3 linked regions of the Callithrix jacchus genome follow. The protein of the gene in region 2 purifies or fractionates together with the protein of the main gene of each other region. This does not show direct contact. Links are inferred from orthologs where the notes say so. Each region holds a gene or a part of one and is shown on either strand. Other genes may lie near its edges.

Region 1 (4,932 bases), on a different chromosome or scaffold from region 2:
CCAGGGCCTTCAGGATCACCAGCGAGCGATCCCACTCCCAAAGCTAGGAAGGATCCCAACAATCCCGAAGGCGACTCTCACCCCGCACCCCACCTTTTCTGGACTCCCAGACGGCCGAGAGGCTCTAAAAACCCCTCAGGGAAAAATAAAGATTTCTTTCCCAGAGTCCTGCGCTGCTTTTCCAAGTCGGATTCCGGCAGACACGATCTGCAGCCGGATAATGACACAGTCTTTGGAAGGAGCGACTGTTCTCGCCCCGCTCGCTCCGAGTTATGGGGACGCCTGGCTGCCCGCGCCGTGCCCCGACGGGCCGGCGTCCGACCCCGGCCGGAGCTGCCAGGCCAGCAGCGCCCTCGCCCCGGGCCCTCCTCCCTTCGTCGGCCCCGCTGCGGTCTGCAAACATTTCCTGCCCCCACCCCCACCAGGAGCTTCCCAGTTGGAGAGAGTTGGTCGTGCAGCCGGCTCCGTGCTCGCAGTTGCCCCAACTCAGCTCCCCCCGCCGCCCGGCGCTGGCGAGCAGCCCCGTCTGGCTGCTGAGCAGCCCATCGGGGAAACCCAGGCGCCAGCAGCCGTGGGGAGTCGATCGGTAAGCCCAGGGCTCGGGCGAGGACGGGGACAACTGGCGGGATGCCCAAGGCCCTGCTCCTTTCCCCGTCGTTACCTGCTCGCTTGCGGGGGTGTCCCGGGGCGGCCGGCCTCTCCCGGCGCTGTCGCCCCACGCAGTTGCCCATGCTGGTTCCTCAGCCAGTCCCCATGCACAGGAGGCGGGGTGGTCGGCTGCTCAGCGCTCCTGCCCCGGACGGCGGCGTCCCAGATCAACGGCTCCGGCCGCCCGGCATCAGGCGCTCCCCGACCTCCCCCCGGGGACGCGCTCAGCCCCGACGCTGGCTCTGCCAAAACTTTGCTGGCCAGCGGAGAGAGGGAGGTGGCAGACTCCGCAGCACGGTCCCAGGTGGCCGGGCCAGGGGGGCCCGCGACGGTGCCCGGCTGGAGACCAGCTCCGCTGGAGGGGCGGAGAGAGGGGGCGGGCACCGCCGTAGCTACTCCCTGCTTGCTCGGGGTTCCAGGCAGGGGCCGGCCCCCCAGAGCCTGTCACTCACCTGCCTAACCCCGCCCCAGCCCGGCCCCGCTCCCTTCCGCCGGCTCGCGGTGCCCCAGCCGCCGCCACCACCCGCCCCAGGTGCGCATGTGACCGACAGCACCGCCCCCTCGGGCTGGGCCTGATTTTCTCATTGGCTTCCCCTGTGGTGCGTACCGCCCCTCTCCCCACCCAGCCAGGTGCCCGCCCCGCCGCCCGTCTCCAGGGGAATAGGGCCGGCAATTATTAGCCCTCAATGGTCCCCTACTGCGTGCCCAGCAGCCGCCTTCCCTCTCGGTGCCACCGCCCCATTCCGCGCCCCGCCCCTCCGTGGAAGTGCCTGGACAGAAGCCGGCAGACACGTGACCCGGGGCGCCCCGCCCCCTTAGCCTTCTCCCGGCTATTGGCTCAAGGGGCGCATGCGCGGAGAGGCTCGTCTGGTGCCACAGCCCGTATCCCCTCCCACGGTCTCCACTTCGCGTCATGGCCGCCGCCGCGGCTTTGGAGGCGGCGGCGCCTACAGACGCCCTATGGGGCCTCGTGCACGACTTCGTCATGGGTCAGCAAGAGGGCCCCGCTGACCAGGTGGCTGCAGGTACGGCAGACGGCGCCGCGCGCCTTCCGCATGGGGGCCAGCAGGAGGAAGCGGCCTCAGCACTGGAGCCGGGCGGGAAGGGAGGGGTACGGGTGACTTCGAGAGATTGGTCTCAAGGCTGGCTGGTTGGTGAGCACCGCGAACTTCAGAACCGTAACAAGCTGGAGAGTTCCCTATGTCTACCTTAAAACCATTTAGACTCCTCATCTCCCCGTAGCCAATGATAGGGAATGGCTACAATGATAGGGAATCATTACAGATGAGGAAACAGGCCCAGCGAGGGCAAGAGGACTTGCGCAGGGCTGCAGACCAGGCAGGAGGGGGAGCTGGGACTCGGATCCATGTGTTCAGATCGGAACCAGGTGCTCACGCCATAAAGCCACGCTGTTTTTGGGAGGTTGGTGTGAGGAAGCGCATCCTCGCAGCGGCCGCTCCCGTCGCGTGGCATCCTGGGAGTGGCGGACTGCCCCGCGCTCTAACTGGCTGGAATGAAGAGGAGGCGAGGAGCCGAGGAGCCGGGCCATGGGGAGCTGGCAATGTTCTGCGTGTCCTCCTTAAGACTTTGCGTTTCTTGCTAAAGTTCTTGATTAATTTGCTCCATGACTTTTTATGTGGCTTTTGTTTTTATCTTCTTCCCAGACCCTCAGTTTCCTGCTTTTGACCAGTTCAGAGATCTTTTTGTTCTGTAATTAGAATAAAACAACTTCCAGGCTTCCGTGGAGTTCTGAGACTTCGCTTTTCTAGGAAAAAAAATCTACTAAAAAGTTATTGCATGTTAGGAGGCCTTCAAATCTTGGGTTTAAGTAACAGAATATAAAATTATCTCATGAGTAGTTTTAAAAAATTTGTTTTTGGAAATTTTGCATGCTTGGAGAGAAGTAAGGACACATTTCTCTTGCAAATTGAGCGTATTAACCTTTAGAGTGTGTAAGAAAAGAATAGTGAATCTGCTAGAAATATAATACTTTGTTCGTTAGTAGTATTCCATTTTCATTCAATTATACCACTGTTGTTGAACACATATTATTCCCCAAACATGATGCAAAGCAATAGGTATATAAATACAAATTAAGTTAGATCTGTGCCCACCAGGAACTTATAGTATGCTGGGAGAGGCAACCATTCTATAAAAGGTGATTGCAGGGAAGTTTGGAAGGAGCAAATACCTGGTGCTGCCACCAAATTTAACATCTTACAGTTTTATGAAATATAATGTGTTATCACATTTACAAGTACAGTGTGTTATCCATGGCATTTCCCTCATGTTTTATTATGAAAATTTTCGAATATCCAGCCAAGTATAAAGAATTTCATAAGGAATACATCACCTAGATCCTACCATTATCATTTTATTGCTCCCTTTATCATATAGCTACCCATCCATTTAATTTGCAGATACCTGTACATTTTTCTTTAACTGCATTGGCATGCATGTCATTGACTAGAGTTTGTTGACGGTGAATTTGTTGTAAAATTTATATCCAATGAAATATATAAATCTTTAAGTGTATGTTTACTGATTTTGACTAATCGTACACCTGTACCATCCAACCCCCTACCAACCTAATATAGAGCATTACTATAGCAGTGTCATTTGTGACAAGTCTTTCACATTTATAAATTATGAAAATAATAATTTTGGATTTTTTTTTTATTCAAAACATTTTGAAAAGACATCTTGAATAAGGACTTATCTTGAATAAGAACTGCTTACTTCTCTTTTTTTTTGAGACAAGGTCCTGCTCTGTCTGCTATGCTGGAGTGCAGTGGTGCAGTCATGGCTCACTGCAGCCTCAACCTTTGCTTAAGCAATCCTCCTGCCTCAGCCTCAACCTGTGCTTAAGCAATCCTCCTGCCTCAGCCTCCTGAAGTAACTGGGACTGCAGGGTGTGTGCCACTGCACTCGGCTAATTTTTATTTTATTTTATTTTTTTGTAGTGATGAGGTTTCACCATGTTGCCTAAGCTAGTCTCTAACTCCTGGACTGAAGCCATCCTCCCATCTCAGCTTCCCAAAGTGCTGGATTACAGGCATGAGACACTGGTTCTTATAAACATTTTTGCAAAATTTATATTTTTGTTTCTTTCTGGAAAAAAGTGATCTAAACTGTTTAGTTTGAATTCAGCTGAGCTCAGCTAAGACTCTGTAACACTAGCCCTGTTGTAATTTAGCCCTTCTAAGAAAAGAAAGTTGGTGCTGGGTACAGTGGCTCACACCTGTAATCCCAACACTTTGAGAGGCCAAGGTGGGCAGATCACTTGAGCCCAGGAGTTGGAGACCAGCCTGGCCAACATGGTGAAAGCCTAACCCTATCTCCACTGAAAATACAAAAATTAGCTGGGCGTGGTGGTGCACGTCTGTTATCCCAGCTACTTAGGAGGCTGAGGCTGGAGAATCGCTTGAGCCTGGGAGGCAGAGGCTGCGGTGAGCGGAGATCACACTATTGCACTCCAGCCTGGGTGACAGAGCAAGACTCCATCTCAAAAAAAAAAAAAAAAAAAGAAAAGAAAGTTGGTACAGAGGAATAGTAACAGATAAAAGTTGAAAAGGTTTGGTGGAGTTGGATTATGCATAATTTTGGATTACAGGCAGAGGGATTCGTAGATCCTCGAGCAATGAAGTCATAAAATGAAAATGAACTTGACAAGGATTAAGTTAATATTGTCGATCTTAGATCACAGCCCTAGTTAGGGTTGTCGAAGGGTAACAGAGTGCTGAAGTGTCCATAAAATAAGATGTACTTTCTAATCCTTCAGCCTAAATCAAGTTTTGTTAGTGCTAAAGGGACCAGCTAGCTTCCTATTCAGTCACTCAGCAGCAGCCTGTGAATTTTAATGGAGAAGGAACACCCTTTGATGACAAAAGCAGCTGCTGCCACCTTTGTTTTGTACCCTGGGTTCCTGGTGAAAGTGTCAGCTGTAAAGAAGGTGCAAGTGGCCGGGGCTCGGGGCTCGTTGGCTCAGGCCTGTAATCCCAGCACTTTGGGAGGTGGAGGTGGGTGGGTCACAAGATTGAGACCATCCTGGCCAACATGGTGAAACCCTGTCTCTAGTAAAAATACCAAAATTTCCTGCATGTGGTGGTGCACGCCTGTAGTCCCAGCTACTTGGGAAGCTGAGGCAGGAGAATGGCTTGAACCTGGGAGGCGGAGGTTGTAGTGAGCTGAGATTACGCCACTGCACTCCAGCCTGGCAACAGTTAGAATCTGTCTCAAAAAAAAAAAAAAAAATGTGCAAGCAATGGAAGGGAAATGACCTGG
Region 2 (4,893 bases):
CCTTGGCCTCCTGGGTAGCTAGGAAGACAGGTGCATGCCACCATGCCCGGCTAATTTTCTTTTTTGGAGAGACAGGGTATTGCCATGTTGCTCAAGCAGGTCTCAAACCCCTGGGCTCAAGTGATCTGCCCACCTCGGCTTCCCCGATTTGCTGGGATTACAGATGTGAGCCACTGCGCCCAGCCATTGTTTGCTTTAAAATAGCTAATTTTACCTCCATAAAAAAGGTTTATATTGTATGATACCATCTAGACAAAGTTGTAGAATAGACTAAAATTATCTACAGTGCTAGAAATCAGACTAGCGGCTGCTCCTAGGGTGGGAGAGACTGGGAAGGGTGTGAGGGCGTTTCTGGGCTGATAAAACACACTATACAGCCAACTGCACACTGAAGACTTGGGCATGGCATGCCATGTAAATGACACCTCAATTACAAACATAAAAGTTTGGAGGCTGCAAGTCCACATCTAGGCTCGTATGCTGCAGATACATTATCACATAAGAAAAACTGCATTTATAAGGTTATTTCCGGCAGCACTGTTTGAAATCCCCAAAGACTGGAAACCACCTAACTGTCCTTCCCTAGGGGGCTGTTTAAATAAGTTATGTTAAGTCCGTTCCATGGAATACTATGCAGCTGTGTAAAGAAATGAGGAAGCTCCTTGTGTACTGATAGGGAAGGTTCTCAAAGAGGCACTGTTCAGTAGCTAAAGCAAGGTGCACAAAGGTGCACTCAGAGTTTTATCTTTTGGGTTGAAAAAAAGGTCTAAGAAAATGTTTACCCTGATTCTAGTCATTAGGAAACGAATCACTGGGGCACAGTGGCTCATACCTGTAATCCCAGCACTTTGGGAGGCTGAGGCAGGCAGAGCACTTGAGGTCTGGAGTTTGAGACCAGCCTGACCAACATGGTGAAACCCCGTCTCCAGTAAAATACAAAAATTAGCTGTGCATGGTGGTGGGCAGCTGTAAGCCCAGCTACTCGGGAGGCTGAGGCAGGAGAATCGCCTGAACCTGGGAGGTGGAGGTTGCAGTGAGCCAAGATCATGCTACTGCACTCCAGCCTGGGTGACAGAGCAAGACTCTGTCACAAAAAAAAACCAAACAACAACAGTCAAAAAAAAAAAACAAGCAACAAAAACAAAGAAACAAACCAATCCAAAGTGCAGGGTGACAATACTGCGCTGAAACCTTTAAGACTGTCACTGTCATGAAGAAGAAAGTCGCCTGGGCTAGGGGCTCACATCTGTAATCCCAGCACTTTGGGAGGCTGAGGTGGGATGGTCACTCGAGGCCAGGAGTTAGAAACTAGCCCAAGCAACATGGTAAGACCCAATTTCTACAAAAAATTTAAAAATTAGTTAAGCATGGTGGTGCATATGTATAGTTCCAGCTACTCGGACGCTGAGGTGGGAGGATCACTTGAGCCTGGGAGGTGAAGGCTGCAGTGAGCCGTGATTGCACCACTGTACTGGTGAATGATAGAGCAAGACCCTGTCTCAAAAAGAGGAAAGAAAAAGTTGCTGTGACAGCTAAATGTGTGTGATCCTAGGTTAGAACTTGGATTAAAAAAAAAAAAGAAATTATGGGCTGGGTGCGGTGGCTCATGCTTGTAATCTCAGCACTTTGGGAGGCTGAGGCAGGCGGATCACCTGAGGTCAGGAGTTCGAGACTAGCCTGGCCAACACGAAACCCCGTCTCTACTAAAAATACAAAAAAAAAAGTAGCCGGGCTTGGTTGTGTGTGCCTATAGTCCCAGCTACTCAGGAGGCTGAGGCAGAATTGCTTGAACCCGGGAGGCAGAGGTTGCAGCAAGCGGAAATCGTGCCGCTGCACTCCGGCCTGGACAACAGAGTGAGACACAGTCTCAAAAAAAAAGAAATTATTAATAGCTTTGAAGACTATTACAGGAACACGGGGCAGATCTAAATAAAGACTGTCTATTGGATGACGTCACCGTGTCACGTTAAACTGCGTGACGATGACGACACTGTAGTTGTGCGGTTGGACATCTTGTTCTTAAGAGCTGACTGCTGGAGGCCAGGCACGGTGGCTCTCGGCTGTAATCCCAGGACATTTGGAGGCCGAGGAGGGGATTGCTCGAGCCCAGGAGTTTCAGATTAGCCTAGGCAACACGGTGAAACCCTGTCTCTATAAAAGAATACAGAAATTAGCAGGGTGCAGTGGCATTCACCTTTAGTCCCAGATACTTGGGAGGCTGAGGATCAGCTGAGCCTGGGGAGGTCAAGGCTGCAGTGAGCTGTGACCACACCACTGCATTACAGCCTGCATGACAGAGTGAGTTCTTGTACCAAAAAAGGTGTCAACTGCTAGATCTTTCAGAGGTGACGTATCACGATGACCACAGCTTTCAGTAGTTCAGCCAAGAAAAGGACAGAAGGGGCTGGGTGCGGTGGCTCACGCCTGTAATCCCAGCACTTTGGGAAGTCAAAGCAGGTGGATCACAAGGTCAGGAGATCCAGACCATCCTGGCCAACATGGTGAAACCCCGTCTCTACTAAAAACACAAAGATTAGCCGGGTGCGGTGGCACACACCTGTAATCACAACTACTCGGGAGGCTGAGGCAGGAGAATTGCTTGAACCCAGGAGGCAGAGGTTGCAGTGAGCCGAGATTGTGCCACTGCACTGCAGCCTGGGCGAGACAGCGAGACTCCATCTCAAAAAAGGACAAAAGCACAAGTCTATGTGTGTGCTTGGATAAAGCAAAGGAGGTGTCGCGCCGACAGCCTGTTCACTGTGCTTAATCTGTACCTTCTCTGCAGGTTTCAAACTTTTCAAAATATTAAGAGGGAAATATATAAAATGGAAATAGTAACAATTTGACAAGGTGGGCAGAAGAGTACGTATAAATCATTTTGCTTTTAACGCAGAGACTAGGTATAAATCAGTTTGCTTTGAATGCATTGTTCTGCAAGGAGAGCTAAGAAACTGGTTTCCAGGGGACGGGGTGGAAGAAGCCTCCATTTGGTAACTGCTTTTCTGAGCTGTGATTCGCATACTATACAATTCACCCCTTTAAAGTAAGTATATATAGTTCAATGGTATTTAGTATGTTCAGTTAGGCAGTCGTCACCACAATCAATTTTAGGACTCTTTCATCACCCCGAAAACCCTACCTCCGTTAGCTCCCCCGATTCAGCCCATCTGCCCCCACCCCTGGCAACCACCCATCTTACTTTCTGTCTCCATGGATTGGCCTATTCTGGGCATTTCCTATAAATGGGATCTTGGAATCTGCAGCCTTTGGTGTCTGGCTGCTTTCTCTGAATGCGTTCATCGTTCATGCGCGTGGTGGCCTGGAAGCAGAGCTGCGTTCCTTTTTTGCTGAGTACTTTTCCACCGTATGGCCAGAACACGTTTTACGTATCCGCTCATCGGCAGATGGACATCAGGGTGGCTTGTTTCCACTGTTCGTGAGTGGAGCACCCGTGAATGTGTGCGGGGGGTTTCGTATGAGGAAGACTTGAACTGACTCCGCGTTTGCGTTCTTCGGGTGACAACTGTGTACATGAGTGACTTATCTCACAGGAAGAAGCAAGCTCAGTTAGTGGCCCTTGCTCCGGCTGTGTAAGCAGCCAGAGACGGACAGGGAGTGATGACCTGCAGGGAGAGACCCGGCTGGGACAGAGGAAGTGCAGGGGCTTGTGGGAGCCCAGAGTCACTGCCGGACCCGGAGGAAGGAAGGGGCTGACTGGCTGCCCGAGGTCAGTTGGCTGTGGCTACAGGGGTGTGGTAGGAGGGACGGTGTCAGCAGGCGCAAAACCCAGGCTCTTGTTGGTACAGACTGGAAGGAGAGCAGTATTAGGAAGGAAAGGCCCCCGTGTACCCCCTCTCATGTGCCCTGGCACAGGATGAGAGCTTGGCAAACACTGGCCTCTGCCCTCTCTCACGAGCAAGCACTTAACAGAGAGTCAGCAATAAAACGACACTACATGCTCACTGCAGGCCAGATGCTGGTTTTCTTGATGAGCAAGACACTCGCTCATTCCCTCGATGACCTCTTCCAATCTCGCCCAATCTCACAGCTTTGTTTTTATTCATATATATATTTTTTGAGATGGAGTTTTCCTCTTGTTGCTCAGGCTGGAGTGCAATGGCCTGATGTTGGCTCACTGCAACCTCGACCTCCCAGGTTCAAGTAACTCTCAGGCCTCAGCCTCCAGAGTAGCTGGGATTACAGGTGCACACCACCATCCCTGGCTAATTTTGTATTTTTAGTAAAATCGGGGCTTCTCCATATTGGTCAGGCTAGTCTTGAACTCCTGACCTCAGGTGATCCACCTGCCTCAGCCTCCCAAAGTGCTGGGATTACAGGCATGAGCCACCGCACCCGACCTGTATGTTTTTTTGAGATAGGGTCTTGCTCTGTTGTGCAGGCTGGAGTGCAGCAGCATGAACACAGCTCACTGCAGCTTCCATCTCCCGGGCTCAAATGATCCTTCCACTTCAGCCTCCCAAGTAATTGGACAATGCAAGTAATCAATGCAGCCTCCCAAGTAATTGGAACCATTAGCAAGCCGTCATGCCTTGCTAATGTTTTAATTTTTGTAGAGACAGGATTTCACGATGTTGGCTAGGTTGGTCTCAAAACTCCTGGGCTCAAATGTTCCTCCCACCTCAGCCTCCCAAAGTGCTGTGATTACAGGAGTGAGAAACCACACCTGGCCTCCACTCTATTTTTTGTTTTTTTGAGATGGAATCTCATTCTGTCACCCAGGCTGGAGTGCATGGCGTGATCTCGGCTCACTGCAACCTCCAAGTCCCGAGTTCAAGTGATTCTCCTGCCTCAGTCTCCTGAATGGCTGGGACTACAGGCGCGCACCACCGCACCTGGCTAATTTTCATATTTTCAGTAGAGACGGGGTTTCAC
Region 3 (4,364 bases), on a different chromosome or scaffold from region 2:
GAAAACAGCTTCAGGAGGTTAAGGGACAGAAGTGTGGTACTGGAGGAAGACAGGGAGGGGTAAACACATCCAATAAAATTTAAGGATAAGAAACACCCACACCAATTCTCAGAATACGGAGGAACAAGAAAGAATTGTTCCTGTGCCATATGTGGACCAGGGCATAGGGTGAGTGGGGCACAGTGGATTAGCCACTAAATGGCTTCAGTGAGGATTCGAAACCTGTTCCAGTATAGTTTTATGGTAAATCCTTCTCCTGGACAGGTCAAAGATTGTGCTTTTTAAATGTCCTTAGAAGGTTACAGCTTTTTGCCTCCTGCTTCCAGATGATTTCCCTTTGGTTAAAAACCAGAAACAGTATAAACCTCACAGGATGAAAGAACAGTCTTTTGCTACAGGTGAGGTGGAGATCTAGATGAACTTACATAGTAAGTGAGGAGTACACTTCTTGGTCTTCTCCCTTGACCACTCCAAGTCTCTGATCTACCAGAGATGGCAGTTTATTTCCTCTGGAAGAAGCCAGTAATGGACACCTGTCTGTTGGCTTTGCCCAGAGCAGCAGTCCCTTTCTTGGGGCCCTTTCGTTCCTCTTTGGGTTCTTTTTTCACAGTCATGGCAGGGGGTCTGTGTAGTGAGGATGTCTTCATCTTAAGTTCCTCTTCACTATCTGTGCAGGATTCACTCTCGTAGACTTTTTCGGTCACTGGTAGGACAAGAAAAAAATGAAACATGGGTGGGGTTGAATAATTTACTCTAACAAGAAAATGGAATGTCTTGCTAACCCCAATCATTTCTGACTCCGATCAAGGTAAATATGGTTACTTTGGACTGAATCTTTCTCCCACCGGGAGATCAGATCTAGACTGAGGTAAGTATGTGGAATCCTGAGATCATGCAGCCTCTGTTTGATACTTAGAATTAACTAACATTCACTTTTCTCCCGCACTGCTATGTCCCAAGCCTTTAATGGCCCTTTATCAGTTAACTGCCTAAATCCTTTATTTGGGTCCTGCCCTATGCTAGCTAACTTCTGAACTCTATTATCAGAATTGTCAACATCTCAAACACTTACTTCTAATTCCATGCTTTGACTAGCTTCGTAAGTCTCATCTCTCCGACCTACAATGCCTGTCCATTCCCACTGCTGGTCTTAAACCTCTGCCTGACTCCCTTCTGTCCAGTCAAGCTCACCATGGACCCTCCTGTCTAGCTCTATCTTGATGCCACCCACTCTCTGCAAATCCCAAGTATAGAGAATTGAAGATCAGTTACTCAGCTGTTCAGTTCCTATTTCTTAATGGCTGCAAATTAACCCAAGATTTAGTAGTAGTCTTTATCATGAAGGTTAACTATCTCAAGTAAACTCTATCAGATGACACACTTGTTAGTTTTAAGGAATGACAGTGATAAAATGAGAAACAAAGTTACCAGTTTTCTTACTCCCTATCAGCCAAAAGCGTAATTTGCCTTGCCCCTTCTATTAAAACTCATTGAACCCTTCCCAAGGAAAACCTGCAAAAGAACTATACCAATAAGCAGACAATATGAGGAAGCCCTGAAGGGCACAGGTACAGATAGTGGCTTCTAGCCATGATGTCACAAAACGGAGGAGGGTCTACTTCACACTACTGCAACACACACACCAACCATAAGAAACAGCACGCCACCTTTCTATAATTTTAGAGAGCTGTGGGAGCTGTATAACCAATACCATCTAAATTCTTTCTCAGCCTTCCTGGTTGCAGCAAGTGATAGAGAAATACGGAAGGAAAGATCTCATTCTCAGCTGAAAAGAGTAACCTAATATGCATAATAAATGCTCAAATGATTAAAGTAAAAGGTGTTTTTTTTTTCCATTAAAGAACAATGATAGTCTCAAGCTCTTATTGATAATTCTTTCTAATAAAATATATCAGTCACATTGCTCTAGAAGCATAAGCTTTGGAAATCAATTTTATCTGTGTCCTAATAACCTACTCTGCTACTTAGATATCATCTCAAACTTGAGTGTGCATCAGAACCACCTGGAGGGCTTGTTGAAACACAAATTGCCAGATTCTGTTTCCCAAGTTTCAGATTCAGCAGGTCTGGGGTGGGACCTGAGAATCTGCTTCTCTAACATGCTCCCAGATAATGCTGATGCTGCTGGTCTAGGACCACACTCTAGGAATTAATGTTCTTTCCTTCTCTGTTTTAAATGTTAAAGTGCAATTGCCACTGGAGTATTCCTTCACTGTTATCCAGCTAATCCCATTAAGACTGCTAATCAACAGTTCCTTCCCAGAGAGTTCCGGGAATTTGTTTTTAATTTTGTAAGAGCCCAGAATTCACTTAGATGCTCACTTAGAGGCTAAAAAACACTGATGAACTTAAAATATATAGTAAGTGTTTTGAAAGGCCTTACTACTCAAACTGTACTCCACACACCAGAGGCATCAGAATCTCCCATGAGCTTATTAGGAATACTCTCTCAGTTCCCACTCCTGGCCTACTGATGCAGAATTTCAATTTTAGCAAGATCTTCAAGTAATGCTCATAGTCGGCAAAGTTTGAAAAATGTTGTTCTAAGATACTTAGAGAATTCCCATGGCATACCTATTCATTCAACAATTAGATCTCAAAACACCACATCCACCGCACATGCATCTTCAAAAGCATGTAACTGAATTAATGGGACAAAATTACAAGCTGTTATTTATTGAATATCTTCAATAAATTATCTTCAATTAGAAAAGCCTGAAGAGCCATCTACAGATAAAGGAAATGACTTTCTACTAGTTGGTGATATAAGACTTTGCTCCTTCATAAGCTATATTCTGTATTCAAATAGCAGCATGTCTACAACATTACACTTTAGCATCAATTAGCTCATTATTTCATTACTTATTAATGAACCCACTGGCTGTCTCATTGCCAATTTTGTGTAATACACTGCTTGGGGGAGTTAAAAAAAAACAGGGCGGCACCAACAAAATTTCTTTAGCAGCATATTCAGTATACTATAATAGCTAAACGAAACATTTTTCTATATTCAAAGCTATAGCTACCTCAAACCCCAGGACAAAGGAGGTTTCCATTAAAAATATAGGTCCTTTATTTTAGCTGAACAACATGTCACTTTCTGGGTTGCCATGAAAAAAAAAATCCAAACACCTGGTTTTCACGGGTAACATCAGATATCTTTTCTATTCAACTGCTTTGCTCTTAGAAACCCACCGTTTTGTCCAGGAGTCTACTCCAAACTTATCTCAGGGCCTCAACTCCCCACTCTCTGCTGCAAACTCACAGAGGGAAAGATGAGCTTTCTAAACCCACAGAACAAATCTGATCCAGCACAGGACAGGGCGAGCCTCCTATGCTGGTACATTTAGAACAGTGTGAGTAGAGAGGAAAGCAGAACTCCTTTGTTGGTAACCAAAGCCAAGACTCATTAGGTTGAGCTTGGACTAAAAACCTTAAAAAAAAAAAAAGTGCAATGTGAGCACAGTTTTCACTGCTGCATCCAAGGCTCTTAACAGCCCTGTCTGGAGACAGGAGTGCAAAAAAGTCCACATCCCACACCTGGCCAAAACTCGAGTACTATGTTCTAAACAAAGCAGTAAACAATTACCCACAAATTCCCAATGAACTCTCACAAAGACATCTGACTTTTTTTCTTTTAGGGCAGAAAGAAGTGAAAAAAAACTGGCACCAATGCTTTTGTCCTCTTAAATTAAAAAAATGTACTGTTGAATTAAGAAATTCAACAGTAAATACATATATTACCACCCATGGCCAAACCAAGAGGCTTGCCATTTTTGAAAAATGGCAACTATTAAAAGACTGAAAGCCAAAAAAAAAAAAAAGAAAAAAGAAAAAAGAAAGGAAAAGAAAAAAAAAACCCATTCAAAGTCCAGAATTCACAGGTTCACAAGAAATCTGGCATTGAAAAGACAGAATTCCCACATGTAAAGAATTCTACTCCCTAATCACATGCTACAATTAAAATGGCAGAGGCCTTTTCAGAGGACAGAGACGTGGGGAATAGTGGGACAGGGAAAACAGCCGACAGAACGTCTGCACTAGTTTTAAGAACCAGGAAAAGTTGATTCTTCAGAGCCAATCTTTTAAAAACAGAAATCTGAACTAGGAAAAAAAATTGAGAAGGGGGAAAATAACCTTCTCTGAAGATCCAACCTGTGGCAAGTGCCACAAAAGGCAAAATGACAACCATGGACTATCCAATAACAAAGGTAAGAGCCTAAACCCACAACTCTTTTCAAATACAAAAGCACAATACCAGGATCTGAGCATCCCATGGAACCTCAAGTGCTAAATCTTAAAAGCTCCACAGAAGTCTGGTTTGATTATGGAAAGGGTAGAAG

What was found.
Region 1: the proteins of POLD1 (region 2) and MMS19 purify together in Homo sapiens (affinity purification with western blotting; 3 studies listed by BioGRID and IntAct, with this or other methods). This does not show direct contact. The link is inferred for Callithrix jacchus from reciprocal best matches to the Homo sapiens genes POLD1 and MMS19.
Region 3: the proteins of POLD1 (region 2) and POLD3 purify together in Homo sapiens (co-immunoprecipitation; 8 studies listed by BioGRID and IntAct, with this or other methods). This does not show direct contact. The link is inferred for Callithrix jacchus from reciprocal best matches to the Homo sapiens genes POLD1 and POLD3.

The regions. Positions count from the first base shown.
Region 1 is NC_133513.1:90,318,829-90,323,760, reverse strand, and holds the start of MMS19 (MMS19 nucleotide excision repair protein homolog), read left to right. Parts: upstream 1-1,513; 5' UTR 1,514-1,561; coding exon 1,562-1,673; intron 1,674-4,932. UniProt on the Homo sapiens protein: Key component of the cytosolic iron-sulfur protein assembly (CIA) complex, a multiprotein complex that mediates the incorporation of iron-sulfur cluster into apoproteins specifically involved in DNA metabolism and genomic integrity.
Region 2 is NC_133523.1:44,035,893-44,040,785, reverse strand, and holds the start of POLD1 (DNA polymerase delta catalytic subunit), read right to left. Parts: upstream 3,369-4,893; 5' UTR 3,301-3,368; coding exon 3,200-3,300; intron 1-3,199. UniProt on the Homo sapiens protein: As the catalytic component of the trimeric (Pol-delta3 complex) and tetrameric DNA polymerase delta complexes (Pol-delta4 complex), plays a crucial role in high fidelity genome replication, including in lagging strand synthesis, and repair.
Region 3 is NC_133511.1:66,321,422-66,325,785, forward strand, and holds part of POLD3 (DNA polymerase delta subunit 3), read right to left. Parts: intron 704-4,364; coding exon 501-703; 3' UTR 1-500. UniProt on the Homo sapiens protein: Accessory component of both the DNA polymerase delta complex and the DNA polymerase zeta complex.